Linked DNA regions of Xenopus tropicalis. The protein of the gene in region 1 purifies or fractionates together with the protein of each later gene. This does not show direct contact. Links are inferred from orthologs where the notes say so. Each region holds a gene or a part of one and is shown in the gene's direction. Other genes may lie near its edges.

The links.
Region 2: the proteins of cdc42bpb (region 1) and fam167a purify together in Homo sapiens (co-immunoprecipitation; 3 studies listed by BioGRID and IntAct, counting the BioPlex papers as one, with this or other methods). This does not show direct contact. The link is inferred for Xenopus tropicalis from reciprocal best matches to the Homo sapiens genes CDC42BPB and FAM167A.

Annotation. Positions count from the first base shown.
Region 1 is NC_030684.2:97,959,811-97,975,475, reverse strand, and holds the start of cdc42bpb (serine/threonine-protein kinase MRCK beta), read left to right. Parts: upstream 1-8,363; 5' UTR 8,364-8,862; coding exon 8,863-9,037; intron 9,038-15,665. UniProt on the Homo sapiens protein: Serine/threonine-protein kinase which is an important downstream effector of CDC42 and plays a role in the regulation of cytoskeleton reorganization and cell migration. Regulates actin cytoskeletal reorganization via phosphorylation of PPP1R12C and MYL9/MLC2.
Region 2 is NC_030681.2:150,802,425-150,818,079, forward strand, and holds the start of fam167a (protein FAM167A), read left to right. Parts: upstream 1-6,348; 5' UTR 6,349-6,667; intron 6,668-15,276; exon of another isoform or gene 15,277-15,381; intron 15,382-15,655.

The DNA of each region.
Region 1 (15,665 bases):
AAGTGACAAACTAAGAATTGCCACTTGATGTTAATAACCTGGAAATTTAGCTTGATTGGCTTTATTTGTTCATGTTAGTACCATATAAATCTCAAAACTTCCTCTCACCTTACTACCTGCCCACTTGATCCCATTCCTACCAAGCTTCTACGCACTGGGCCGCCATCAGGGGGGCACAGCGGCACAGTTGTCCCGGGCCCGGACGATTTTGACTTCAAAAGGGGGCCCGGACGCGCTATGTAGATCGGGCCCCCTTTAATCTGTTACGCCGGGTCCTCCGTATTCCGATTGGTTGCGCCCCATGTGTACGCGTGACGTCAGCACGCACGGGGTGCAACCTTATAAAAGAATAGCTGCAGCTGCCAGCCGGGGGACAGACGAGGAGCCTAGGGATGCAGCCTGAGGAAGCGGGGGGAGCCGCAGGGGGACGCTGGAGAGGATGCTGCGGGGGAGCTGAAGAATGTTGGGGAGGACGCTAGGGGGAGCTGGAGGATACTAGGGGGGAGCTGGAGGATGCTGGGAGGGAGCTGGAGGATGTTGGGGAGGATGCTGGGGGGCGCTGGAGGATACTAGGGGGGGCTGGAGGATGCTGGGGAAGGAGCAATGTTTTAGGGGGTCCCTGCCCTGGCAACAATGCAAAACGTAACACCTATCTACCAATGTTTTAGGGGGCCCTGACTACCAATGTCTGTGTGTCCTTTGTACTGATGGGAGGGGCCATTGGGGGGCAGGGCATAGGAGGAGGAGGGGGGCCCCAGAAAATTTTGTTGTGAGGGGGGAGGATGTTGGGGAGGATACTTGGGGGAGCTGGAGGACGTTGGGAGGGAGCAATGTTTTAGGGGGTCCCTGCCCTGGCAACAATGCAAAACGTAACACCTATCTACCAATGTTTTAGGGGGCCCTGGCTACCAATGTCTGTGTGTCCTTTGTACTGATGGGAGGGGCCATTGGGGGGCAGGGCATAGGAGGAGGAGGGGGGCCCCAGAAAATTTTGTTGTGAGGGGCCCCGTGATTTCTGATGGTCGCCCAATCGGGCCCCCGCGCCAATGAGGGCCCCGCGCTCCATTTAAAAAGAATAGCTTTAACTCTCCCCTCTCTCCCTCCCTTTCACCTGCACGGACTTCTAGTTACAAATACCTCTTATCGCATCAACACCAGAGGAGAACTCCTTCACAGGGGGCTGTACTGAAATGCGATTGGACACAGGGCATGACCTTTGAACCACTGCGCTCACCATGCAAAGGCAGACATGCACGCACAGCCTCCTGTGAAGGAGTTCTCCTCTGGTGTTGATGCGATAAGAGGTATTTGTAACTAGAAGTCCATGCACATGTTTTGTTTTTTTTTTAACTCAGCGGGGGGATAAATGAGCCCCGGAGCTTTAATGTCTGTGGGTGGAAGGGAGGGGGGAGTGAAAGCTACTGTTTTTCAGTGCAGTGCAGGGCCCCTTAGTTAGTATTTTCATCGGATGGATCTATAACTGGGCAAGGACAATGGCACACATAGCACCATTTCCACCTTAACTGCAGTAAAATGGGGGAGTAGGAATTTTCCAATGATTATGTTATATTGCTACTTATAGTGCCTTTTTATGAGCCATTTCCCATTCTCCTTGATTAAAAGCAGCACAATTCAGCAGGAACAGCCCCCTTAGTTTGCTCATAGCCTGTACAGAGAGATACCATAAAACTATGGCAGCATAGGGATTCCCCTGTACTAAGCACAATTCAGCAGGAACAGCCCCCTTAGTTTGCTCATAGCCTGTACAGAGAGATACCATAAAACTATGGCAGCATAGGGATTCCCCTGTACTAAGCACAATTCAGCAGGAACAGCCCCCTTAGTTTGCTCATAGCCTGTACAGAGAGATACCATAAAACTATGGCAGCATAGGGATTCCCCTGTACTAAGCACAATTCAGCAGGAACAGCCCCCTTAGTTTGCTCATAGCCTGTACAGAGAGATACCATAAAACTATGGCACATAGGGATTCCCCTGTACTAAGCACAATTCAGCAAGAACAGCCCCCTAAGTTTGCTCATAGCCTGTACAGAGAGAAACCATAAAATTATGGCAGCATAGGGATTCCCCGTACTAAGCACAATTCAGCAGGAACAGCCCCCTAAGTTTGCTCCATATGACAGCCACATGAACGCTGCTCAGTGCTGCTCTCTTCTGCTAGTGTTGGGTGAGTCTGGGAAGGGGCGTACACTAAAGGGCAAATTACATTCTTTCCATGGGCATGGAAAAAAAAAATTTTGTCGCGCTACGCACGGCAAAGGTTTTTGTTCCTATTTACATTTTTAAAATGTTGGGAGTTGTGCCTGTATTAAGCACAATTCAGAAGGAACAGCCTAAAAAACTATAAAACTATGGCAACATAGGGAATCCTCTGCACTAAGCATAATTCACAATGTACTAAGGAGGCTCCGCAAAAATGGTTCCAATTGGGCCCCGCAGTTGGTAAGGCCGGCCCTGGAAGCTTGCACTTGTAACCCCTATTCTGAAAAAACCTTCCCTTGATCCCTCCAATCCTAGTAACCTTCGACCTATCTCTCTGCTCCCATTCATCTCCATACTGCTCAAACGCCTAGTTTACAACCAACTGACGCTATTCCTCTCTGACAATAACCTCCTGGTTTTAGACAACACTCCACCGAAACTGCTCTAACCCGACTAACAAATGACCTCCTATCGGCTAAAGTCAAAGCCTACTAATACTTCTCGATCTCTTGGCTGCTTTTGACACTGTGGATCACCTTTTTCTCCTCCAGTCTCTCTGCTCTCTTGGCCTTCGTGACACTGCCTTATCCTGGTTTTCATCTTATCTCTCAGATCGATCCTTCAGTGTCTCTTACAATGGTGAATCGTCTTCTCCCTTGCCTCTTTCTGTTGGGGTTCCTCAAGGCTCTGTCCTGGGTCCCTTACTATTTTCTCTCTATACCTCCTCACTTGGCAAATTAATCAATTCTTTTGGCTTTCAGTACCACCTCTATGCTGATAATACTCAGATCTATCTTTCCTCTCCTAATCTCAACCCAGAGCTTCTAACTCGTGTCTCTTCCTGCCTGTCTGCTATCTCTACTTGGATGTCCCAACGTTACCTTAAATTAAACCTCTCTAAGACTGAATTGGTTCTCTTTCCCCCATCCAATGCCCACATTGTTTCCGAGGTATCTATAAAGGTTAACAATTCTACCATCACCCCATCTTCCCAGGCCCGGTGCCTTGGGGTTATCCTTGATTCTGCCCTGTCCTTCACTCCTCATATCCAGTCACTTATCAAATCATGTCACTTTCACCTAAGAAATATTTCCAAAATACGATCATTTATCACCCAAGATGCTGCCAAAATTCTGATTCATTCTCTCATTATATCTCGCCTGGACTACTGTAACTCCCTATTAATTGGCCTTCCCCTCCAAAGTCTGTCCCCACTCCAGTCCATAATGAATACTACTGCCCGGCTCATACACCTCTCCAACCACTCCTCCTCTGCCGTGCCACTCTGCCAATCCCTGCACTGGCTTCCCCTACCATCCAGGATAAAATTCAAACTAATGACTCTCACATTCAAAGCAGTTCATAACTCTGCCCCACCCTACATCTCTAGGTACCATCCAACCTGCTTGTTACGCTCCTCTACTGACCTGCTCCTCAACTGACCTGCTCCTCAACTCCTCTCTCATTCCTTCCTCACATGCTTGCTTTCAAGACTTTGCAAGGGCTTTCCCCCTTCTCTGGAATTCGCTCCCACAAACTGTCAGACTTTCTCCCAATCTCTCTGCCTTCAAGAAATCTCTAAAAACACATTTATTTAGAGAAGTTTACCCTAATCTAGATTAACATAACCTCAGTGTGCTGCTAAAAGCATTACCCTGTGCCACACCTCTCACAACTCTGGTCTTGCCCATTCCCACACCTTGTGTCTCAACCCTTCCTCCTTGTAGATTGTAAGCTCTTTTGGGCAGGGCTCTCTTCACCTCTTGTATCGGTTAATGATTGCTTTATATGTTACTCTGTATGTCCAATGTATGAAACCCACTTATTATACAGCGCTGCGGAATATGTTTATAAATAAATGTTAATAATAATAATAATATAAATAAACATACTTTATGTCTTTACCATACAATAGCTCTTAACAACAAGCCACCCACAATAAAGTGGCCACCCCTGCTTCCACAGATCAGGTAATCCCATACAAGATCATCATCTGAGGCACTGCCCACCCTAATGTATGATGTATACAGATGTGCTGTAATATTAGGCAGTGGTTATCACAGAGGGCCCATAATGACCCATTCTGAGAATATCAGTATGTAGTGCATATAACTGGTCTCCTTGTAATGAATCTAAGCCTTATAACTTGCATTAGAGGACTAGATGAGCACGATAGAGAAATGACTGAATCACATTTCTAATATGAGTAACCACTTATGGTAATTGGCTTGTTTACAAATCTGTCTAAAAAGAATGCAAATCTAGCCAGATGCTACGAGCTGAAGCAGATGAGTCAGTAAGTGGAATGCTATTTTCTATTGACTCAACTATATTTAATTTAAATTTGTAATTTTCCCTATGTATTAGTAATTGAATGCCATTGACCAGGAATGCCTGCACGAAGGTGCAGACTGCTTGACCCTGACTATCTGGCTAGCACTGATAAGTGGACATAGAGCCAAAAGCATTACAGCACACTAGTAAAGCCATAAATACATGTTCTTATTCTCTCACATCCTTTCCTAGAACTCCCTTTCCTGGCTGATTTATCAAAAGATCAGTGGTAAGAACATACTTTGTTTCTGTACATAAAGACTCTAATTTTTCCTTATCTGTTATCTAATTCAACTTAATGGTGAAGACACATGCAGTGATTAGTAGCCGCGGCTTTTTAAAAAAACGAATTAAAAACAAATAGCAGCGACTTATATAGAAACCTACGTCGGTTAAGTCATCGCAATTACTCTGACTGACTTTTTAAAAAGTTGTGGCGATTAATCACCCTGTGTGCCTTCACCTAAAGGGGTAGTTCATCTTAAAGTTAACTTTTAGTAAGATACAGAATGGCCTATTATTATCAAATTGGTCTTTAATTTTCATAGGTTTAAATTATTAACCTCCCTCTTCTGCTTATCTGTCTGGATCAATGGCTTTTTATCTTTGCAGGTATTTTACTTATATCCCTACATAGACGGACTGTTGTTTTTATATTAAAAGAGAACAATGATCAGTCTCCAACTGACTTCTTAAACAGAATGGGCCAAAGCCATTTTTATAAAATACTTTTACATCGTGTTGTGTGCCTTGATTCAAATTATACCATAATTGCACTTATAATTCCAAGTTAATAATAGGCATTTATATTTTACACCACAGCAAACCATTAATTTTATTTGTCTAATCAGGGATTGTGTTTTTACATGTGTGTCATGCCTTGAGGAGAATGTAAACCTATGACTGTCCTTTCAATTTGCAGGTAAGCATTTAGTTTTGTACTGCAGTGTCACACAACCACCCAGAATACACATTTTCTTACGGATTTAAAATGATTAATTATGCACTGATGAAGTTTGCACATACCTGGAATTAAGATCTGACAGAGTTAATTACAAGGAAGATATTTGTTTGTGTGCATAGTGACATGGTTGTATCACCACCAAGATGATGTTGCACATGCAGAAAATTGGTGAAACTGCTTTCATAATTGTCATTGCTGCAAAGTAATAACAGCCATAGTAGCCACATTAATAATTCTTTGAGGTGCACAGATGTCTCTCACTTTGTTTTTTTTTGTTTTGTTTTTTAACAGGAATAAAAAATAGGTTTCAATGTTATATTCTTTATATAAAAGCATAATCTGATTTTAAAGTTTCCATAATCTATCATTGTGATTCTATACATCCATATAACCTCTGTCCCATCCTTTAATAATCTTAAATCCTAAAGCATGCAAACAATCTATGACTTCCCAGCCATTAGTTCAGCAGATGGGGAGAAACCCTTGGCATATTTTTCCTCCCTCTGGGGAAGACTCTACCCTTCCATTACTCCTTCTGTTCATTGAATTATGCAAGTATATTGCCTAAAGGTAACTCTATTCTTATGTTATTTTGTTGTCCATAAGATACATCTCATTGTCTTTGATCTATTTAAATCTGCTTTTTACAAACCCATGGCAACACTTGTATGTGACTGCAATAAAATTATATAGCACACAAAAAATATGTGCCATTTCCAGGCAGTTTGTCTTGCAGATCAAGACATAAAGATGCACATTATCTTTGACCTACATATGCAAGAGAATTACTAAGGATGTGTTGAATGTGTAGGAATGGCAAAAAAATATTCTGCATGATATAAAGTTAGTGGAGGGATGAAGACAAAAAAGCAGAAATGTTTTTGGGGGTGCTGACTGCATAGATATGGGTAAAAGGAGTAATAGGGTGTGTTTTAGCAATTTTTTGGCAGATAATAACTGTATTGAGAGCTGAAATCAAAATGCAGAGCTAAACAGAAAAGAAATACAATCAGTTGTGGGCTTTATGTAGAGTTGAGAGAAGTGAAGGGAATCTTCAGACAAAGCTGTGGCCACAAAGGCTAATAACCAGGCCTGGACTGGCAAACTGTACATTCTGGCAAATGCCAGAGGAGCTGCTGTAAGATGACAGAAACAGACACTATATATTGAGCTGGGGGGGGGGGGGGGTCTGTTTTGGCCTTTGTGTACTTTAATTGTCAGGGCCTATTATCAGTCCCAGTCTGGACCTGCTTACAACAGATCTGTGGCCTAAGAAGATAGGGAGTGGTTATGCAAAGATGCATTAGAAGACCGGTTGCTAAAGCAAAGCTAAACAAAGAAAAGCTCCATCTAACCTATGGCCAGAAAAAAACCTGTCTCTATGGTGCACTGTGGACAGCAGAATGAATATGTAAACAGCAACATGGAATGTGAGAACCTTGTAAAAGACTGGTACCCTACAAAATCTAAATGAGAAAATGAAAAACTACAAAGTGGGGCAGCAGAAATACCAAAAAAGCTGGCTCTGTCAATAAAAAAATAATTTTAGCTGTTCAAGCACTTGCAAATACTGGCATATTTCCATAAGCTTTTATGCACAATTTAATGGCCTAATATAGGGCTCTTAGCTCTAGGTAGATTTTGCTGTGTTTCTGCCCAACTGTAAATATGTCAGAACAGGCAGCAACTGAAAGACAGATTTTTTTTTCTTTCAAAACTGTAAGTTGTGTATATAGCATGGACATAATGTCTGCACAATCAGAAAAACATGTTTAATTCTAGAAATATTTTCTCTGCTTGCATGGGAACATTATAAAAATGTTAATTTCTAGTGTATATATGAATTATCTACACCTTTTATTTTCATTTATTAGTGGTTTTTCCTGTCTTTTGTTCCTACAGCCTATTAATTTAGGGTGGTTGTCTCAGTCTTAGGGGCTGATTTACTAAGACACGATTTCGAATCCGAATTGGAAAAATTCCGATTGGAAACGAACATTTTGCGACTTTTTCGTATTTTTTTGTGATTTTTTCGGCGTCTTTACGATTTTTGCGTTAGAACGCGAGTTTTTCGTAGCCATTACGAAAGTTGCGCAAAGTCGCGATTTTTTCGTAGCGTTAACACTTGCGCGCAAAGTCGCGCCTTTTTCGTAGCGTTAAAACTTAAAAGGCGCAACGTTTCACGCAAGTTTTAACGCTACAAAAAAAAATCGCGACTTTGCGCAACTTTCGTAATGGCTACGAAAAACTCGCGTTTTTACGCAAAAAACGTAAAGACACCGAAAAACTCGCGTTTTTACGCAAAATTACCGATCATTACGAAAAAAACGCAATCGGACGCATTCGGCCCGTTCGTGGGTTAGTAAATGTGCCCCTTAGTGACTTGAGATTTCTACATGAAGTAGAGGCAAAGTAACAAATCAGCACAGCATTAATAAAGTTGGTTTAGTTCCCCTTAAAACAACGAATGATTCCCACTGTCATGGATTTTATTCTCAGGTTTCATGCTCCTTGGCCTAGAATCAATGCTGGTAATTTGCACCAAGGTAGAAGGTAGATGATACAAATTATGAAATGCTTTAGTATGTAACAAGGCGGCAAAAAAGGTAGAATGATGAAAACAGCGGGTCCTGATTGTTCCTATGCGACATGTATGATGCCCCATATTCCGCGCAGCTATAGATTAAATAGGAATGTTATCACTGCCTGTCACTGCCTGACTGATCCCATTTTCCATCTGGCACAAATACTACAATGCCTTCGGGTGTGTATGAGAAGATGAAGTTTGTCCCATCTGCTGCCCGTACTCCAGTGAAAGTCTTTATTCCCTATGGATATGCAGTGCTGCCTCCTGGCCGGAAGAGGGCTCTTCCAACATTGTTCTGACGTCAGTCGGGACATTCCTTCCCTTTCCGGTGGGAAGGGCTTCGTCTCCCGGTTCTGCTCCGTGATCCCGAGCCAAAGAGGAGAAGAAAAGGAGGAGCATTGAAGAATACAGGGAGTGGGGGCGGCCATGATCTCCGCCGGTTACGCTGTAAAGCAGCAGCAAGCGGCTAACTAACTTGTAACTGAGGGGAGAGGGATACTGCACAGCCGGACTGGGTGGGGGGCTCGTCCCCTGTTCATGGACCAAGCGGGCCTTGGAGCTGCATAGTGTCTTGTGGAGCCTTTGCCATGTCTGGATAGGTCCTAGCGAGCAGCCGGGGGGAAGAACGCCTTAGTGTGTCCTCAGGGTGCGGGGAGCCACCCTACAAATTGCCATTTCTATTGGCAGCAGTGCAACGCCATTCACTATCATAACCTGCTTAGTTTAGCTAGGCTGCTCGCTGAGCCACGGGAAGATGTCGGCCAAAGTGAGGCTGAAGAAGCTGGAGCAGCTGCTCCTGGATGGGCCCCAGAGGAACGAGGCGGCCCTGAGTGTGGAGACCTTGCTGGATGTGCTTCTCTGCCTGTATACCGAGTGCAGCCATTCCACCCTCCGCAGGGACAAGTATGTCAGCGAGTTCCTGGAATGGGGTGAGTGTGGGCATCACCATGGGCACTGGGCAAAGGGATCCGGGCACTGGGCAAAGGGATCCGGGCACTGTAATGTTGCACAACCCATGCACACACATTCTGACTTCCACAGCATTGACTATAGGATTATTTGGCCGTGCAGACTTTGGTATAAAGGTGACCAAGTGCATGCAAACAGTTTATACATGGATGTAGTAGTATTCAGGCCTCCATGGAATATCTATTTGGCAAATTAGCTTGGTTGCAGTGTATCCCAGGATCTTCAGTGGTGGCTCGCTATGCTAGTGTGTGGGTTTAGATAAACAGTTATCTGTCCCCAGATTGTGTTCAACAACACCCCCAGCAGTTCTTTACCAGGGAGGAGGGGTTGCAGGCTTTTGTCATTCAGCAACAGCTGGAGGGCCAAAGGCTGGGCATCTCCCTTTAACTCTGTTATTGTTTATAAAACCAAGGCTTTAGCTTCCACTTATCAGCCTGGCACTTTAATCCATTTGCTGCTAACCATTTGGCAAACCAGTCAACAACTAATATTCTGCATATAAAAGTTGGGGTTTATAGTCTTACTGAACAACATGTGACAGACCCTCCTCCCAAGTTTAGAAATTGGGAAATTGTGTTTCTTTTTACCGTCAGTGACTTAAACCATTGTAAACACGAGTCTCCACATAAGGAACACATGGAGGAACACACCAGTTTGTATCTGTTAATGAGATTATTGGTTTTAAATCCTGCATGTAGAGTGCCTGTAATCAGGGTGATGTACATATGTATCTGTGCTGCTGTCTTGGGAGAGGAGATAAGTCTGAGCTTTTCTTCTCTCAGTTATGTCAGGATGTGTTGGGGGGGGTATTAATGTGAGCATTGACAGGGAATACCTCTGATATAAATCAAGCAAAAGTAAACTGCCATGGACCAGATCAGGTTAAAATATTAAGTCAGTGGTGTGTTGGATAACTTCTCCATTGGTGGTGCCATCTGGACAGGTAAAGGTTTTTCAATTGAATGATTGCTCTGAATTTGTATGTTTTTTAATCCAGTAGGCTAATATTTATACATTTGATGGCAGTGTAAGACAATTGAAAGAAATGTTGTTGCTGCTGATTATAAAATACCACTAAATTCAGAAGCGCCTAATGTTTATGTAGAACAGGCTTTGGGCACAAATAATATTTAGAAGACTTCTGATAAAGTTAAAATGATCTCAGGTATGTCTTTGCTGTAGTCTTAAAGGATCACATGAACCAGTCTTCTTCCTCTTCCTGCCCATCCCAGTTCTAGAGAACATCCTTGTGGAATGCATGTGAGTTGCAAACAGCATCAGTTGTGGTATCCAGTCATGCTCCCCACAGCTGCTCCAGTCTATGAGCCTTACATTTTAATGCACTGTGCTGGAAACTGCTGCACACTACTTGCTATACAGAAGTGATTCTCCAGCTTTTTCCTGCTAGATCAAGCAGCGCAAACTCTAAATATATGATCTTCTCTAAAGGTTTTGACGTTCATTATATACAAAAGCAATACAGAGGACAGAAAGAGCAACTTGTCCACTCCACTGCATTTCTATATGAGCTAAAGTAATGAACTTCAAACCTGTGATTCCAGATACTTTGCATATTTGTATGTGTGTGCGTGTATAATATATATATAGATATATAGATATATATATATAGATATATAGATCTATAGCCACTACATGAGCCTGCATAATTTAGTTTGAGCTGTGCAATACAGATAAAAAAAAAAAACTTATCCTCAACTTACTGATAGAATGGAAAATATATCCAGGCCAAAAGCAGGATGACTTATTAATGTATTTTCCTTTTTGAAGACCAAACTGAATGTGAATTTTTAATAGTAATTGAATAAACATTTGGAGCCTGATCGATGTGGATGCTACATGTGGCAAACTCTGTAGGAATCCTTCTCAAAAACAAGCTGAAAGCAGGAAATTTTTACTTCCTGTTTATATGGCTAAGAATAAGCCATGACTGCAAGAAGCTGACTGCTGAGACCTTTATCTGATATGCATAAAACTACTCAAATCTAAAGATTAAACCTACCTCCTAAATACATTAATGTTATTTAGCAGTATAATGCTATGTTCTAACAAAATCAAAGATGGGGAGTTCCTGCGGACAACTTCGAAGGCCTGGTTACTGAGCTGATGAACCTATGAGCTGGGACACTCAGTTCAGTAAAATACAACATTTCTGTTAATATTCTGTTTTATGTTATAGGTCTCTTTTAAAGCACCAAATCCAGAATTTTTGGAGGGATTTGTCCAAATCACAAAGTGCTTTGCAGGATTCAAGTTTGACTGAATTCTTATTGCTTAGCGGAACAGAATCCAAACTTGTGATGTTATAGCTCTGGAAGCTCAAGATGACAGATTAGCTCATAGGAAGCTGAAAGTATATTCCAAATTGTCTTTACAATCATCATGTTACAGAAGTGTCACAGACAGAAACTAAGCATTCACTCCATATCTTACCCTATTTGGCCTACAAATTCCATTTGAGGAGCCTGCAAGTGCATCCCCACAGAGAAATGGGGACCTAGTCTGTTTATTAGTATTAATGAAGCAGCCATTAAATGTAAATATATTTAAAAGTTTTTAATGTTGCAGTAATGACCCTTTCCTTATTTAAAGTTGTTTCCTTTTAAAAGCAGTATCAAATTTAAGAGACTTTGTTGAAAGTCAACTTTGTATCGGTAATGTGGTCCCTACAACCAGTTGTACCTGCATGTAGTTTGCAAAAAAAATATACCCTGTAGGCATATGTTCTTTGTTAAGATGGTTATCAACATAAAACATGTTGGGTAATGTATGTAAACAAGCTAAAAAACCAGAAATACAGACTTTTTTAAAATGGTGTTGCTGAACTACAGATGCTACGGTGTGTGATCACACAGTGAAGTAAACATGCTAGTTCCATTGTGTAAAGACTATTATGCCAACAAAGAAGGCTGCTGATTTCCGTGTGGGCAAATTTCAAAATATTATTTTTCATGATCCTTGCATGTTTTCGGACACTTGTGTGTGATATAATCTTGTAGTGCCAGTCTGCTCCTATGAGAGTATTGCTTGCCACATATTTATCAAAAAATGTGCAAAAATTGCAATAAGTCTTTCCCCACCCCCATTGGGTCCTGAATTATTTTGTGAAAATGCAAATACACTCCCCTGTTCTCTACAACAATTTTGGCTGAAAATAAGGTGGATTGACATTTTCACTGTATTCAAATAGAAAGAAATATGCAGAATTTGAATGCCACATTTGCAGTGAAAATGAACAGAGCTTCTGTATGTCGTGGGCCTAAGGGGCAGATTTACCCATGTTCTTTTTATTCCTACAGGATTTTAGAAGCATGTTTATCAATGAGTGAAAGTTAGAACTTACCATTTGATAAATACCCTTTTTAAAATCCCATAGAAATGAATAGAAAGTGAGTGAATTTTACTGTGGTGAGCTCTAATTTCATATTTTGATAAATCTGCCCCAAAATGTAACATAGAGGATTGGTATCTGTATAGTTGCTATGCGATGAGCCAACCAAAAGGAGTCACAATTGACTGTAGAGTAAAATAGTGTTGGGTATGGCACCTTCCTTAGGAGTACCCTTTGCTAGTTTAGCTATGCCAATTAGGAAACGAAGGGAAGGAAGAAGAACTCTAATAGGAATTTAAAACTGCAAATAATTTATTGGGTTTATGGATGACAAAACCTTTTTTAGGTTGAGCAGGTAATGCAATCTGGATTCATGAGTTCTTTTAAAGGCCTTGAACAGTGATGGAGGTCTGCCTGTACTTTGCACTCTTGAGTCCAAGTTAAAGGGATACTGTCATGATATTTTGGTGTACTTTTTATTTCTAAATTACAATGTTTGCAAAGCGAATAATTCACTCTACCATTTAAAATTGTATTCTTGAACAACAAATGTATATTTTTTTTAGTTGTAATATTGGTGTGTAGGCAGCCATCTCAGCACATTGTGCCTGAGTTTGAGCTTTCAGAAGGAGCCAGCGCTACACATTAGAACTGCTTTCAGGTAACCTATTGTTTCTCCTACTCCCCCAAGCCGGACTTTGATTTCTTACTTTTGAGTGCTATTCTGATATCTACTGGGAGCTGCTACCTTCCCATTGTTCTGCTGATCGACTCCTTGCAGCTCAGCAGTAAAGTGTGACTGAAGTTTATCTGAGTACATAAAATGAGTCTTTGAGCTTTTTCACAATTGAGTTAATTTTTTTCAAATAAGCTGTTTTTAAGGGAAAAAAAAGGTTTTAAGAGCCTAGTGCCCTTTATCCTAATACTGTCAGGCCCAGCCTTTTCCAGTACCATGTTCTTGCTAGTATACTTGCAGCAGGGAATATTGTAAAAACATCTTGGTGGTATAACTTATTGAATGTATTGTTTCCCTGTTATATTGCTGAGAAGGGCAACATACCTATATGAAAGCATTGACTTTGTGCTTGAGGATGGTTATTCATTCTTCCAGCACTCACCTAGACGGCACACTATGCAGAAGGCTTCTGAAAGGTTTTAAAAGCATACTTCTGCATAGGTGATTTAACCCTTTGGGTACCAGCCACTTGTTAGGAGAAAAGCTTTGCCAAAAACAGCAAATTTTTAAAATAAATTTAATTTCTTAAGTGCAGTTTGTGCTTTTATACATATGTTTCCAAAGCCTTTAGTGTCTGTACACCGTATATATATGTTAGTTGCATTTAGAAACATTTAGGTTGACTGGCCAACTGGTCTGTATCTCTTGTCAAATTCTGTGTTTCAGTGTTTATAACATAGCCTTCTAGGGGCATTGTTCAGACTGTGACTGAAGCCGTTATTCCCAAAAAGTCTTAGCCATAAACTTATTGCCTGTGGGTGTGTGGCTGGTTATATGAACACTTCTTTTGCTTAACTTGTTAATAAAATGTATGTTATTGCTATGTTTTTTCTTTCAACAACTGATCAATAGAAGACCATGAAATTATGTGATGTCTTATCCATGTATTCCTGTCCTTTTTAGGGACAATCGGTGTGGTATAATTGTCCCTTAGATTTGGAGTACGCTGTGACACTGTAATATCTGAGTTTTCATGTGTATACCCCAGAGCAAATTGAAATGGTATCTGAAACAAGCATTAGCCTACCTTTCCTTCTGGGACCAATTGTTAAAAAATGGATTCCAGAGCACTATAAATTTAATGAATATAGGTGTGTAATGGGTAGCTGTAATGATGTAAGAAACCCTCAAAGATTGTATGGGCTTGGCATATTGGTGACAGAAATTAGGGTTAACCTAAAAGAGCTGGTGGTCTCAGCTAGTATTTTGGCAGGGGTTTTCTATACCTACAGCAGGGTCATGTTAAGAAAGTAGTTATCTGTGGATAATCCATAATGGTGCTGGTGACAGAAATAGTTTAGATTGACTGCATCTGTTTTGAGAGAGGCAGCAAGGTTCTTTTTAATTCACTTCTTAACTGTGTCTATTTTGTGATGACAGTCCTCTTTGGCTAATTCCACATTTAGCAGATTCTTGGCCTGAGTGTAAGTGCTGAGTGTCTGCACCTGGGGCCGATACAGTCGTGGGTAAACGCGAGCTGAGAATCTGCCACATGTGGCTTTAGCCTTTATTGGTCAGCTCACCATAAATTGAACTTTTGGTATGAGTTTTTGTTTTAAGTACCACTTTTAAAGTCCAGCATTTGTTCAGGGCTCCCTTGAGCTCATACCAATATATGAATATATAAACAGAGAAAAACATTAGTAATACAGCCAAAGTTACAAGACTTTCTTGGACTAACCCAGGCTGGGGCCATCTTTGGAGGCCAGCCCCACATTTTTGAATCCACCAATGTAGATAGTGGTATTGTGGTACATTTGGCACTTGATCTCATTTTCTATTTATTTCGATTAATTTTTATTGTTGTGATGCAAAGTTGTCATTAACTTTAGCAATGGTTTGAATGGTAGCCTGCTAACCTAAGTGTGAATAAATTGCTGCTTTTTATTCTCCAAAACCCTCTAAAGTAAAAAGCAGTGAGTGGGGTCCTTTTAGCACAAGGTGGAAAGTGGATACAATCGGAATAGGTTTAATATTTAATAAGGTAAATGGGCTCAGTATGCTCAGTCATTTCCTAGGGCAAAGTCATACCAATGTCTGTATCCTTTACTACATATCACAATGTCCCTTTCAGAAACTGTTCTACTTGGTGCCTGAAAATTATTGCGCTGAAATTCCCACGTGTTAATGCTGAAGGCAGTTAACTTTTTTCTATGATGAATGCATTTTCGTAAGGCAGAACATTACTGTCATTCAGCATTTGCGCTACTGAACAAAATGTTATGTTGTACTTCAGTAGTTGTCTTAGTCTCCACTGTGGATCCCTAGCACATTCATCTGAACATTAAATAAAAACATTTCAGCATTTTGCAGAACATGTATATTATTCATTTATATAACCTTGGCATCTAACTGGATATGTCTTTTTCAGCCTCATAATCTATGTAACTATGTTTAGATATTCATACCAGTTCCTGTTCTAGTGGAGCTTTCAATACATTTTTATTTCTGCTGCCATGACACACCATATTTTAGTATAAATGTATATATTTATAGTGTATAG
Region 2 (15,655 bases), on another chromosome or scaffold:
ATGCAGCTGGCTGAAAAAAGTCTATCATTGATTGGTTGCTATGGGTTACTGCCCATGGGTGAATTTGCCCAGTGTTGATAAATGAGCCCCAGTGTGTGAGATTCCTGCGGATTTGCACTAAGGCAGGGACACCAACTCTATAGAACTTATATTGAGCCTGATATCATACCCTGCCTGGGAAGGTTTATACAATTATACTGGATAAACCATTGAGCCGAGTATTGATCCTACCGGAGAGAATAAACAAAGTTCATTGTTTGAAGGAATTCTTGTTGCTTTATTTATCTACTCAATCCATCGCTGACAGATATTCCAGGGGATCCATCAGTTAACCCTTTGGATACTACTCACTAGAGGGAGAATAACTAAAGGCAATATGCCTGCCGGGGGTTGCTGGGAGTTGTCACCCTAAGCGCTCAGTGCTGCAATTACTCCCCCAGGGGCCAAACAGGGAACCTGCATCCAGGGGCAACAACAATTAGATGGGGACTGTGCCAAAGGGAATAGGGGTGTCTTGTAGAGTGTAAGCTCTTTTGGGCAGGGCTCTCTTCCCCTCTTGTATCGGTTATTGATTGCTTTATATGTTACTCCTTGTAGAGTGTAAGCTCTTTTGGGCAGGGCTCTCTTCCCCTCTTGTATCGGTTATTGATTGCTTTATATGTTACTCCTTGTAGAGTGTAAGCTCTTTTGGGCAGGGCTCCCTTCCCCTCTTGTATCGGTTATTGGTTGCTTTATATGTTACTCTGTATGTCTCCTTGTAGAGTGTAAGCTCTTTTGGGCAGGGCTCCCTTCCCCTCTTGTATCGGTTATTGGTTGCTTTATATGTTACTCCTTGTAGAGTGTAAGCTCTTTTGGGCAGGGCTCCCTTCCCCTCCTGTATCGGTTATTGATTGCTTTATATGTTACTCCTTGTAGAGTGTAAGCTCTTTTGGGCAGGGCTCTCTTCCCCTCCTGTATCGGTTACTGATTGCTTTATATGTTACTCCTTGTAGAGTGTAAGCTCTTTTGGGCAGGGCTCTCTTCCCCTCCTGTATCGGTTACTGATTGCTTTATATGTTACTCCTTGTAGAGTGTAAGCTCTTTTGGGCAGGGCTCTCTTCCCCTCTTGTATCGGTTACTGATTGCTTTATATGTTACTCCTTGTAGAGTGTAAGCTCTTTTGGGCAGGGCTCCCTTCCCCTCCTGTATCGGTTATTGGTTGCTTTATATGTTACTCCTTGTAGAGTGTAAGCTCTTTTGGGCAGGGCTCTCTTCCCCTCTTGTATCGGTTATTGATTGCTTTATATCAGGGGTGTCAAACTCAATCACATAAGGGGGCCAAATTTTTTATTAATATACTTAGTAAGATACTAAGGGGTATATTTATCACAATGTGTAAAAACTGGAGTAAGACATTACCGGTGATGTTGCTCATAGCAGCCAATAGATGCTTTGCTACTGTTGAAATCTGATTACTGATTGGATGCCTTGGGCAACATTACTGGTAATGCTTCACTCCACTTTTTACACAGCATGATAAATATACCCCTTAGTCTTAGTTACTATGTGAGGAGAATGGAAATTGATCAGGCTGGATGGTCAGACTCACTCACCAAGGGCCCTCTTTTAACAGCTCAGCCCGCAGTCCCGGATTCTTACTGAAAAGTCCCTCATTTCCCTTTGATCTCCTGCACTGAAGCTAAAAAAGATACAAATTTAATTAAAAGTAGCTTTTGGCAGAGAGCCCAGAAATCTTAACCAGCATCACTTGCACTTAGATACAGTGTTTCTCACATTTAATTAAATAAGTAGCATTTAGCAGAGCCCAGAAAGGTAAAAAGCCCCCCCTGCACTGAGATACAATTGTAACTAATAAGCTAAACAGGTCTCTTGGGGGAACGGAGACTCACAGCTTAAAGGGCAACTTTACCTTCATTAGCAAAACTGTAATAACACATAAAACAGGACCCCGAAACCCCCACAAATGTGTTCAAACTATAAATAACCTGCCAAATTTAGTCAAATGGGAGTGGTAATTAGGAGGTGTAGCCTCAAAAATGGGCGTGGTCAAAAAATTCACCGCGCAGCATTTATTTTTGTCCCTCTTTCTGTTTTCAAAATGTTGGGAGGTATGCAAACAATCTGTTGGGAGTGGGAGCCCCCCTTGGTTGAACCCAGAAACATATTGTATATTCCATTCTGCTGTTTTCAGAAAATCTTTTATTTCTGTGAATTATTACTATAGATCAGGGAATAGTATAGTCTCCAACAGTGAATTCATTTCCCCAGGCAGTACCTGTATCCAGCCATTAGGTGGCGCCCTTGTAAACCTGATCAAGAGACAGCATTAAAAACACAACACATTTTGAATAAACCCAGAAGACGCTGAAAAATGAGTGTGAAAATATTCCCAGCTCAAAGTACAGAGGGTACAAAGGCGGCATCGATCCCTGAGCTATTTGCACCCAGTGAGAAAGCTAACAGAGCGGGGTGTGGGGCGGCCGCACAGCAGCTATTAACAGACCAGTCACATAAATAATGAATAGGGACAATATCCTGCTTTATCTTTTTGTTCAAAAAATTCCTTTACAGCCCCGGAGGCAGCTATTCAGATCCCTGCAGCAAAAACGGATAAGCTCTTTGGGCAACAATATAAAAGCCGTGATTAATTGCCCCAAAGCAATATCCAAAGGTCCCGGCTGCACCTACACCAGCGCCCATCAGTATTATACAAACTGACAGGCATATTTAATAACTGAATGTACATCAAACCTATAAGTGCTACTGTCACTTTAAGAGGTTAAAGGGCAGGTCACACCTTCAAGTGAAAATAGTTTATTTACAGTTGTAGATCTGTTTGTCAGGCTCCTCCGGATAAAGTATTTCCCGGCAGCAACAGTTCTGGTTTATATGGGAGAATGTTTCACCCTGTATAAACGTGGCCCCTGTTTATCTCTGCGTAAAGGGGAACTCTACCCAAATATTGTATTTTGTATAAGGGAGAATGGAACTCTCAGCAACGTCCCAATATCCATTCATTGCACATTTTCACTGGTTTAAAGGTCTTTGGATGCTAAATAAGCAGTCAGTGTGCCGCACTGTACCCCCCCCCCCCATCCCTGGGGGCCCGTGGCCCCTCTCTAGTGCATCGCTATGGGCACTAACTGCCTATTAAACACACACACGCTCTCTAAGTGCTGTATAAGTGGTTACAGGGAGCGGTAAGGGTCATGAAGATTCAACTCAATTTCTGCATTATTTATAACCAAATATTTCTTTACTTTGCCTTTTTATTTGCTTCCTTTTTCCCTAATCTTCTTAAAGGGCCAGGGACATTTTCCTGAAGGTGATGGTACAATGTACAGTTCCTGGGGCTGAGAAGTGATCATTACAGCCATAACCAAGTTCAAAGGGAGTGAAATGTTCCTGCAATTAAGGCAATCATGATTAATTAGGGACAGTTCCATGTCACAGATAAGTATCACTTTTCTCATGGGGCGAATGGGTGGGAACTTTCTCTATAAGAGCCATGGGAAATGCTGCATCGCTGCTCGGTCACTATAGATTGCGACTCAGTAGCAAAAGTGGCTCCGGTTACTCCCTACATTTCAGGGTCTCAATGTTTAAAGCGGCGGTTACTTTGATATACTTTCATTTTTTTTTGGTGTTACTGTTCCTTTAACTTTTAGAATGCACAGAATGGCCAATTGTAAGCCACGTTTCAACTGAAGTTCATTATTATGAGTTATTTTTATATTTAGGTCCTCTCCTATTATAAATATAATCAGTCTCTCAGTTAAAATTCAAATTCAAATTTTATTTGTCACATACACAGTCATACAATTATGATATGCAGTGAAATGCTTAGACGACTACTATTAATGACCTCAAATTAGAATAATATAGAATATAAGAAGTTAAGAATAAAAAGAATAAAAAGAGTTAAACCACTCTCGGGTTGCTAAGGTAATTAGTACCCTAGCAACCAGATAGCTGCTGCAATTCCAAACTGGAGAGTTGCTGAATAAACTTGAAGTAATTAAAAAAAAAACAAAAATAATAAAAATGAAGACCAATTGCAAATTGTCTCTGTTCGTATGATAATGGGGAATGTATCCATGTACCCCGGGGCAATTGATTTTTGCCTAATTGAAAAAGTATGATGTAGAGAGTAATATTTTGAAACAATTTGCAATTGGTCTTCATTTTATATTATTTGTAGTTTATAGTTATTTCATTTTCAGTTCAGGAGCTCTCTACTTTGGAGTTTTGGCAGTTATTTGGTTGCTAGGGTCCAAGTTACCTTAGCAACAAGGGAGTGACTTAGATAAATAGGGGAATAGAAAAGAACGCTACAAAAAGTAACAATAACAATAAAGCTGGAGCCTCACAGAGCAATCGTTTTTGGCTGCCGGGGTCAGTGACCCCCATTTGGAAAACTCCAAAGAGTTGGAAGAAGAAGGCAAAATAATTCAAAAACTATAACAAATAAATAATGAAGACCAATCTAAAAGTTGCTTAGAATTGACCATTCTATAACATAGCTCTGCATTCAGGATCTGCCCAAGGCCCTAACAGTGAGTTCTTGTTAGAAACATAACGTCTCTCCTCGTGTTCCTCACTCAGGAATAAAACCCCATGATTATCATACATATTAATATATTGACTCTCTTGTGACTCCACCTATTAACCCCTCAATCTCCCCTTCCAACGAGGGGCAGGATGTGTGTGAGGCTCCCAGGACAGGACAGTGAGAGAGACATTAGGAGGCAGATGAGTAGGTCACAGTGGGGCCGGGGCTTATTATAGTCCTTACTGGAATATATGTATGTGCTACAGGGCAGAGTATTGCCCAGCGGGCACCTTATGATAATGCCTGCTCCAGGGCAGATAAACACTCCTAGCCAGGGAGGGCAGAATAACAATTTGCTCTGAGGAGTCCAAGTAACCACCCTGTTGTTTGTATTGGAAGTGGCGTCTGTTCCAAAATAGTCTGTATTGCTCAGTTGCCTTATGTAGAAATACTCTGCTGAGCTTCCTATATATATATATGGCAACAGTTATCAAATATTTGTGATTCAAAGGCTTTAGTGATCCAGCAATGGCCAGCCTCCCCAAAGCTATATAGAAACATTGGGGTAACAGTCACCCTGCTATAGTTCCAAGGGTACCCAGGGCACAAATAAGCACTCACCCCAAATCCCCCCTAACTGGCCTTCAGGCTGGGCCCCCTTAGCCCATAACAAGGTTACAGATATATAGAAACATTGGGGTAACAGTCACCCTGCTATAGTTCCAGGGGTACCCAGGGCACAAATAAGCACTCACCCCAAATCCCCCCTAACTGGCCTTCAGGCTGGGCCCCCTTAGCCCATAACAAGGTTACAGATATATAGAAACATTGGGGTAACAGTCACCCTGCTATAGTTCCAGGGGTACCCAGGGCACAAATAAGCACTCACCCCAAATCCCCCCTAACTGGCCTTCAGGCTGGGCCCCCTTAGCCCATAACAAGGTTACAGATATATAGAAACATTGGGGTAACAGTCACCCTGTTATAGTTCCAGGGGTACCCAGGGCACAAATAAGCACTCACCCCAAATCCCCCCCCTAACTGGCCTTCAGGCTGGGCCCCCTTAGCCCATAACAAGGTTACAGATATATAGAAACATTGGGGTAACAGTCACCCTGTTATAGTTCCAGGGGTACCCAGGGCACAAATAAGCACTCACCCCAAATCCCCCCCTAACTGGCCTTCAGGCTGGGCCCCCTTAGCCCATAACAAGGTTACAGATATATAGAAACATTGGGGTAACAGTCACCCTGTTATAGTTCCAGGGGTACCCAGGGCACAAATAAGCACTCACCCCAAATCCCCCCTAACTGGCCTTCAGGCTGGGCCCCCTTAGCCCATAACAAGGTTACAGATATATAGAAACATTGGGGTAACAGTCACCCTGTTATAGTTCCAGGGGTACCCAGGGCACAAATAAGCACTCACCCCAAATCCCCCCCTAACTGGCCTTCAGGATGGGCCCCCTTAGCCCATAACAAGGTTACAGATATATAGAAACATTGGGGTAACAGTCACCCCGCTATAGTTCCAGGGGTACCCAGGGCACAAATAAGCACTCACCCCAATTCCCCCCCTAACTGGCCTTCAGGCTGGGCCCCCTTAGCCCATAACAAGGTTACAGATATATAGAAACATTGGGGTAACAGTCACCCCAAATCTCCCCCTATATATATATATATATATATATATATATATATACATTGCATCAATGACAGATAGAGAGCAGGAGGCTGTAGGACCCAGGGGCTCCGGGCTGAGTGGGGCTGAGGAGCAATGCTGTGCCCATAGCAGAGGCTGAATGAATAGGGGAGATGGGGAGAGAAAGGGAGATGTTGGGATGGAATTGCTATGCTGTTTCCTGGCAACTCTCCTGACGCAACAAAAAAGTCGTTACATAAAAGAGGGGGGAAAGCAAATTCTGGGAAGAGACAGAGAATCCCGAGGCACAGGGAGAGAATGCAGATGCGGCCGGCCATAATAACCTGCAGCCTGGAAGGGATCTGCAGCATCTTGTGAATAGAAACCTACAGGAGGCAGAGGGAGGAGAGCCTGAAGCGGCTGGATGTGCCCAATGCAATACAAACCCTGATGCCTTTGCGCCTCTCACACTGGGTAAGTGCCATGGGGCTGCGGCGTGGTGCCCCAGTGAGGGTAATTGTGGGTCATTGTGCCTTGGTAATTTATTAAGGGCACAAATGTATATATATATTTTTTTTTTTATTTAGTCTACATTTTGTATTTCCAGACTGGGGGTAATAGTGGTGCATCTATCTGCATTATTCTCTGTATGTTACACCTGAGCCCATGTTATAGCCCTGCCGCAGCCGCTCTGTCCTGATTTATAACAGGCTCGGCCAACCCGGAGCCACCCAACTGTTGATATGGAACTTCCAGTATCCCCCCCCCCGAATGTACCACTGTTGGGCCTTGGGGGGTGCTGGGTATTGTAGCTGAGCCTCAGTTGGAAACCCCTGGTTTAGAAGAACAGATGTTCCAACTGGGAATCTCATTGGCCCGTCTGCCCTGAAATATTCATGCAGTAATATTCCATAGGGATTATAGGGATTTGTAACCTTAGTGTGTTTCCTATTGAGCCCTGGAAATTCAATTAGCCTATCTCTGTCCAACTCTTGCCATGCTGTGGGCCAGTTAGCAGTCAGATGACATGATCATGGGAATAAATAAATATCAGTAGTTATGGCTCCCTATACTACTACGTTAGCAGGGCCCTTCCTTCAGGAGGCCCCAATTATTAGCCCACTGGTAACCTGGGCCCTCTAGGTGGTGAATTCTGCCAACAAGTAAAATGGGGTCACAATGGGAAAAAAGTCCCTTGCATGATCCCCCTAAGTAACTCCCAAATAATGCCCAAACTCCTCCCATAATCTATAAGCCCCTCCCTCCACTCTCCCCAAAAGCTCTGTTGCTTTTGCTACCTGGGAATCTAGCTTTTCCACAGGGTGGGTACGGGTGGGGGGTGGTTCCATGGGTGCTGGATGTTATATTTTCAACAAATGACTTGTGATGAGTGCCGGTGGGGATCGGGTCGGGGCAAGCAAGGCCAACAAGGGTTTTTTTCTGGTGCCCCATCGACCCAGTCTGACTCTGAACTCAAGGGCAGTAAGTCGGTCAAAATTTACATTCTGCTGAGACATCTTATCTCACTGTCACCTTCTAGTCCTGACTGCCAGCTGCTCTTTCTCTCTATAGGGATCCACTGTGTCCCTGATTGAACCCCCTGCACGTTCTGCAATGTCTGTCCCACTAAGAGTTCTAACACATTTGGCCCAGGATACCCATCAAGTATGGAGGGGGCAATTTGTAAAGTCATGTGATGTACACAAGGGGAACCCATCCGTCACATATACTGTATATATCTGTATACTCCCCCTGTGCCGTATGGTTTCCCACACTCACACAGCTTCATGGGATGGCACGGACCCCAGGGCAGGGAGGGAATCTCAGCAATAAGCTGCGTGCCATCTTGGTGCCATATTAATGAAGGATGATTATGAACATAATAATTATACAGTAATAACGCTAGATTACTTTATTGGCTATGAATTTATTAAATATGCAATTTACTGTATATTATAATTCCTATTAGACAGAAGCCTGGTGTGTTCCTTATGGGCCCAGTCCCCTCCCCTCTCTGCAGCCGCAGGGTCTGCTTCCTCTCTGTTACTCCTCTGTGGTTTCTTTTATTTTGCAAACACTGTTTACTAACTAGGAAAGGGCTACAATAATCTCTATTTATTCACATCATCTGCTGCACTCACACTGTATTAATTGCCAGACACAACAACTCAATGTCAGATTAAAGGGCAATTTTCCCACTTTTGGCAAGACTGCTCCTATGGGAGTAAACCATTTAGATTGCACAGGGCAGTGATCCCCAACCAGTAGTTTGGGGGCAACATGTTGCTCCCCAACCCCTTGGATGTTGCTCTCAGTGCCCCCAAACCAGGGAGTTATTTTTGAATTCCTGACTTGGGGGCAAGTTTTGGTTGAATAAAAACAAGATTTCCTACCAAATAAAGCCCCTGTAAGCTGATAGGGTGCATAGAGGCCCCTAATAGCCAATCACAGCCCTTATTTGGCTCCTCCATGAACTTTTATGGTGCTTGTGTTGCTCCCCAAATCTTTTTATATTTGACTGTGGCTCACGAGTAAGAAAGGTTGGGGACCCCTGGCACAGGGTAATAACAGTGCGGTGACGTTATTATCTCAGATGTCCAAGATGGGTTTCCCTGCCCTGGCCTATATAGGATAGTGGCAGCACAATGGGATCTATAGGACTTGATTTATTTTTAAATAGACACTTACAGACAATACGGCGAATTAACTGGATGTAAAAGTCACCCTCAAACAAGTCATCATTAGGGGTGGTCCAAGCAGAGATGGTGGGAGGGAGAGATGGTGCCTATAGTAGCAGTGGGGGGATAATAGCCTCTGGGAAGGGACTGGGGCTGTGGGATAGCAGGTATAGTAGGGAGAGATGGTGCCTATAGTAGCAGTGGGGGGATAATAGCCTCTGGGAAGGGACTGGGGCTGTGGGATAGCAGGTATAGTAGGGAGAGATGGTGCCTATAGTAGCAGTGGGATAATAGCCTCTGGGAAGGGACTGGGGCTGTGGGATAGCAGGTATAGTAGGGAGAGATGGTGCCTATAGTAGCAGTGGGGGGATAATAGCCTCTGGGAAGGGACTGGGGCTGTGGGATAGCAGGTATAGTAGGGAGAGATGGTACCTATAGTAGCAGTGGGGGGATAATAGCCTCTGGGAAGGGACTGGGGCTGTGGGATAGCAGGTATAGTAGGGAGAGATGGTACCTATAGTAGCAGTGGGGGGATAATAGCCTCTGGGAAGGGACTGGGGCTGTGGGATAGCAGGTATAGTAGGGAGAGATGGTGCCTATAGTAGCAGTGGGATAATAGCCTCTGGGAAGGGACTGGGGCTGTGGGATAGCAGGTATAGTAGGGAGAGATGGTGCCTATAGTAGCAGTGGGGGGATAATAGCCTCTGGGAAGGGACTGGGGCTGTGGGATAGCAGGTATAGTAGGGAGAGATGGTGCCCTATAGTAGCAGTGGGGGGATAATAGCCTCTGGGAAGGGACTGGGGCTGTGGGATAGCAGGTATAGCAGGGGGAGATGGTGCCTATAGTAGCAGTGGGGGGGATAATAGCCTCTGGGAAGGGACTGGGGCTGTGGGATAGCAGGTATAGTAGGGAGAGATGGTGCCTATAGTAGCAGTGGGGGGATAATAGCCTCTGGGAAGGGACTGGGGCTGTGGGATAGCAGGTATAGTAGGGAGAGATGGTGCCTATAGTAGCAGTGGGGGGGATAATAGCCTCTGGGAAGGGACTGGGGCTGTGGGATAGCAGGTATAGTAGGGAGAGATGGTGCCTATAGTATCAGGGGGGGGATAATAGCCTCTGGGAAGGGACTGGGGCTGTGGGATAGCAGGTATAGTAGGGAGAGATGGTGCCTATAGTAGCAGTGGGATAATAGCCTCTGGGAAGGAACTGGGGCTGTGGGATAGCAGGTATAGTAGGGAGAGATGGTGCCTATAGTAGCAGTGGGATAATAGCCTCTGGGAAGGGACTGGGGCTGTGGGATAGCAGGTATAGTAGGGAGAGATGGTGCCTATAGTAGCAGTGGGGGGGATAATAGCCTCTGGGAAGGGACTGGGGCTGTGGGATAGCAGGTATAGTAGGGAGAGATGGTGCCTATAGTAGCAGTGGGGGGATAATAGCCTCTGGGAAGGGACTGGGGCTGTGGGATAGCAGGTATAGTAGGGAGAGATGGTGCCTATAGTAGCAGTGGGGGATAATAGCCTCTGGGAAGGGACTGGGGCTGTGGGATAGCAGGTATAGTAGGGAGAGATGGTGCCTATAGTAGCAGTGGGGGGATAATAGCCTCTGGGAAGGGACTGGGGCTGTGGGATAGCAGGTATAGTAGGGAGAGATGGTGCCTATAGTAGCAGTGGGGGGATAATAGCCTCTGGGAAGGGACTGGGGCTGTGGGATAGCAGGTATAGTAGGGAGAGATGGTGCCTATAGTAGCAGTGGGGGGATAATAGCCTCTGGGAAGGGACTGGGGCTGTGGGATAGCAGGTATAGTAGGGAGAGATGGTGCCTATAGTAGCAGTGGGGGGATAATAGCCTCTGGGAAGGGACTGGGGCTGTGGGATAGCAGGTATAGTAGGGAGAGATGGTGCCTATAGTAGCAGTGGGGGGATAATAGCCTCTGGGAAGGGACTGGGGCTGTGGGATAGCAGGTATAGTAGGGAGAGATGGTGCCTATAGTAGCAGTGGGGGGATAATAGCCTCTGGGAAGGGACTGGGGCTGTGGGATAGCAGGTATAGTAGGGAGAGATGGTGCCTATAGTAGCAGTGGGATAATAGCCTCTGGGAAGGGACTGGGGCTGTGGGATAGCAGGTATAGTAGGGAGAGATGGTGCCTATAGTAGCAGTGGGGGGATAATAGCCTCTGGGAAGGGACTGGGGCTGTGGGATAGCAGGTATAGTAGGGAGAGATGGTGCCTATAGTAGCAGTGGGATAATAGCCTCTGGGAAGGGACTGGGGCTGTGGGATAGCAGGTATAGTAGGGAGAGATGGTGCCTATAGTAGCAGTGGGGGGATAATAGCCTCTGGGAAGGGACTGGGGCTGTGGGATAGCAGGTATAGTAGGGAGAGATGGTGCCTATAGTAGCAGTGGGGGGATAATAGCCTCTGGGAAGATGGTTACCCATAAGTAATAAGTCATTACCAATAACAACCCTAGCCACATAGGAGGTTTGGGGGTTAAAGAAGGTTTAATAAGGATTTCTGCAACTAGTAGTTTGTCTCTAGAAAAGATAACAAGCCTGGCCAGAGCGCCTTGGGCTTTAGCAACTAAGGTGCGATAAGAACTACTGCGGATTTGGACTTAAGTTGTAAACACAATGTAACATGGCTACTGAGCATTAAGAGACACAGATCCATCAGTCACTATCCCTTTTACTCCCATAATTACTATTTAGCTGGTAAATGATCTAGAGCAAGGCAACAATTAGGTGCCATTGTCAATCTGCCTCTGAGGGGAAACACATTCCTTACAGATTCCATATTCAGCAGTTTGACTTCCCCTGCCTGACCCACATTTCTTTTACCATCTTCTGCTACAAAGACATCCATTCCGTCACATTTCTCCTCTCTAAGCTGTATATGAACAAATAAGCACATTGGCTAGCTGTCCATCCAATTAACAAGAGGCATTAATGGGGTTTAAGAATGCAATGTAATTACAATTGCAACATTCTTCAGGTCTAGTAACCCATAGCAACCAATCAGCAGGTAGCATTGACTGCACCTGTTATTACGTTATCCCCTTATACCTTTCCCCCTATACCATAAACTAGTTGTATATATATATATATATATAGAGTATATATATATAGCAGTATCTCTATGTAATTGGTACAGGCATTGTGCAAGTTGCCTTCCATCAGTTACGCCTATAACAATAGGTGCAGATTAGGCGCGGCCCCCTTGTATCAATACTTTGTACCTTTCCCCGAGCGGCTTGGACATGGTTTTATTTGATGTAAAACAAGAACTTCCATTTGTATCGACTTGTTAAATCAATAAATCTCTTCCCTCCCTGCTGCCAATGCATAAATGATAATCATCTGTGGGAGGATAAGGTGTAACCAATGGGTCTTTCATCTGAAGCTGGATGGTGCCATTGTTACATTAGTCTTGTAGCTATACAATGGGTATTAGCATTCTCCAGGTCTGTACTAATCTTGTTACCCATACCCCATATAATCCCCCCTCCCCAGATGCCCCCTCACCTCTTAATATTGCTCTGCAGACCTAGGGGTCACCTCACCTCCATTCTAGACTAGAAATTGTGATATGGTGAGTCCCATAGTCAGGCACATTTATCACTTATTTTATTGTTCTACAGAATAAGGTTAGGATTCCTGCACAGTGGGGAGCTAGCCAAAATATCAACTGGCACTAAGATAGAAGTGTTATTGGCAAAGAGCAGTTCACTCTTGGCCTAGTGCTGATACACAGGCAGCTGCCCCTAACTGGCCTTCAGGCTGGGCCCCCTTAGCCCATAACAAGGTTACAGATATATAGAAACATTGGGGTAACAGTCACCCTGCTATAGTTCCAGGGGTACCCAGGGCACAAATAAGCACTCACCCCAAATCCCCCCTAACTGGCCTTCAGGCTGGGCCCCCTTAGCCCATAACAAGGTTACAGATATATAGAAACATTGGGGTAACAGTCACCCTGCTATAGTTCCAGGGGTACCCAGGGCACAAATAAGCACTCACCCCAAATCCCCCCCTAACTGGCCTTCAGGCTGGGCCCCCTTAGCCCATAACAAGGTTACAGATATATAGAAACATTGGGGTAACAGTCACCCTGCTATAGTTCCAGGGGTACCCAGGGCACAAATAAGCACTCACCCCAAATCCCCCCTAACTGGCCTTCAGGCTGGGCCCCCTTAGCCCATAACAAGGTTACAGATATATAGAAACATTGGGGTAACAGTCACCCTGCTACAGTTCCAGGGGTACCCAGGGCACAAATAAGCACTCACCCCAAATCCCCCCCTAACTGGCCTTCAGGCTGGGCCCCCTTAGCCCATAACAAGGTTACAGATATATAGAAACATTGGGGTAACAGTCACCCTGCTACAGTTCCAGGGGTACCCAGGGCACAAATAAGCACTCACCCCAAATCCCCCCTAACTGGCCTTCAGGCTGGGCCCCCTTAGCCCATAACAAGGTTACAGATATATAGAAACATTGGGGTAACAGTCACCCTGCTATAGTTCCAGGGGTACCCAGGGCACAAATAAGCACTCACCCCAAATCCCCCCCTAACTGGCCTTCAGGCTGGGCCCCCTTAGCCCATAACAAGGTTACAGATATATAGAAACATTGGGGTAACAGTCACCCTGCTATAGTTCCAGGGGTACCCAGGGCACAAATAAGCACTCACCCCAAATCCCCCCCTAACTGGCCTTCAGGCTGGGCCCCCTTAGCCCATAACAAGGTTACAGATATATAGAAACATTGGGGTAACAGTCACCCTGCTATAGTTCCAGGGGTACCCAGGGCACAAATAAGCACTCACCCAAATCCCCCCTAACTGGCCTTCAGGCTGGGCCCCCTTAGCCATAACAAGGTTACAGATATATAGAAACATTGGGGTAACAGTCACCCTGCTATAGTTCCAGGGGTACCCAGGGCACAAATAAGCACTCACCCCAAATCCCCCCCTAACTGGCCTTCAGGCTGGGCCCCCTTAGCCCATAACAAGGTTACAGATATATAGAAACATTGGGGTAACAGTCACCCTGCTATAGTTCCAGGGGTACCCAGGGCACAAATAAGCACTCACCCCAAATCCCCCCTAACTGGCCTTCAGGCTGGGCCCCCTTAGCCCATAACAAGGTTACAGATATATAGAAACATTGGGGTAACAGTCACCCTGCTATAGTTCCAGGGGTACCCAGGGCACAAATAAGCACTCACCCCAAATCCCCCCCTAACTGGCCTTCAGGCTGGGCCCCCTTAGCCCATAACAAGGTTACAGATATATAGAAACATTGGGGTAACAGTCACCCTGCTATAGTTCCAGGGGTACCCAGGGCACAAATAAGCACTCACCCCAAATCCCCCCTAACTGGCCTTCAGGCTGGGCCCCCTTAGCCCATAACAAGGTTACAGATATATAGAAACATTGGGGTAACAGTCACCCTGCTATAGTTCCAGGGGTACCCAGGGCACAAATAAGCACTCACCCCAAATCCCCCCCTAACTGGCCTTCAGGCTGGGCCCCCTTAGCCCATAACAAGGTTACAGATATATAGAAACATTGGGGTAACAGTCACCCTGCTATAGTTCCAGGGGTACCCAGGGCACAAATAAGCACTCACCCCAAATCCCCCCCTAACTGGCCTTCAGGCTGGGCCCCCTTAGCCCATAACAAGGTTACAGATATATAGAAACATTGGGGTAACAGTCACCCTGCTATAGTTCCAGGGGTACCCAGGGCACAAATAAGCACTCACCCCAAATCCCCCCTAACTGGCCTTCAGGCTGGGCCCCCTTAGCCCATAACAAGGTTACAGATATATAGAAACATTGGGGTAACAGTCACCCTGCTATAGTTCCAGGGGTACCAGGGCACAAATAAGCACTCACCCCAAATCCCCCCCTAACTGGCCTTCAGGCTGGGCCCCCATAGCCCATAACAAGGTTACAGATATATAGAAACATTGGGGTAACAGTCACCCCGCTATAGTTCCAGGGGTACCCAGGGCACAAATAAGCACTCACCCCAAATCCCCCCTAACTGGCCTTCAGGCTGGGCCCCCTTAGCCCATAACAAGGTTACAGATATATAGAAACATTGGGGTAACAGCCATATAACTGCAGTCATATTGGGTCACACCATGTAAAGAAGCAGTGTAGTTGTAACTGCCCAGACAACTAGGGGCCCTGCTTAGCACACTATGCATTGACAGGAACCAGGGGCTGTTTTGGGGGTGGGGGGCACCTGTCTGGGTGCTATAGACACTTCCTTTGTATCTGTTGCTCTGTCTCGGTACTGAGGGCCCCACACATCTCTAGGTTCCATTCTGCTCTCCATTCAGATGCCCAGCTTTGTGCAAGTCATTCACAGCTACAGAAAGGCAATTAATGGGCTTATTTACTCAGGAGTGGGAGTGGTAGAATGGGAGGATGTGCCAGAAGCATAAAGACAGCAGCAGACTCTGCCTTGGCTATGAATCGGCTCGGAGGTATCACTGCGAGAGGTGAGCCCGGATTCCTTCTACTCTCATAATTTCACTTTCTATTCTTTCTATTTATCTACTTTTTATCTCTGCGGAACTTTAACCCCTATGGCTGCCCTGTCATATTCTGCTTTCCAATTCCCTGTAACAGGACATTCACTCACTGGGCAGTAGAATAACATAATCAGCCAGCTGCGGGCAATGCTACAATACACTGACTTCTGCTACATTGCTGCAGGAGTCAGAACCACAGGACAGAAGGGGACAATTGCAATTACAATGTAAAAATGACTTC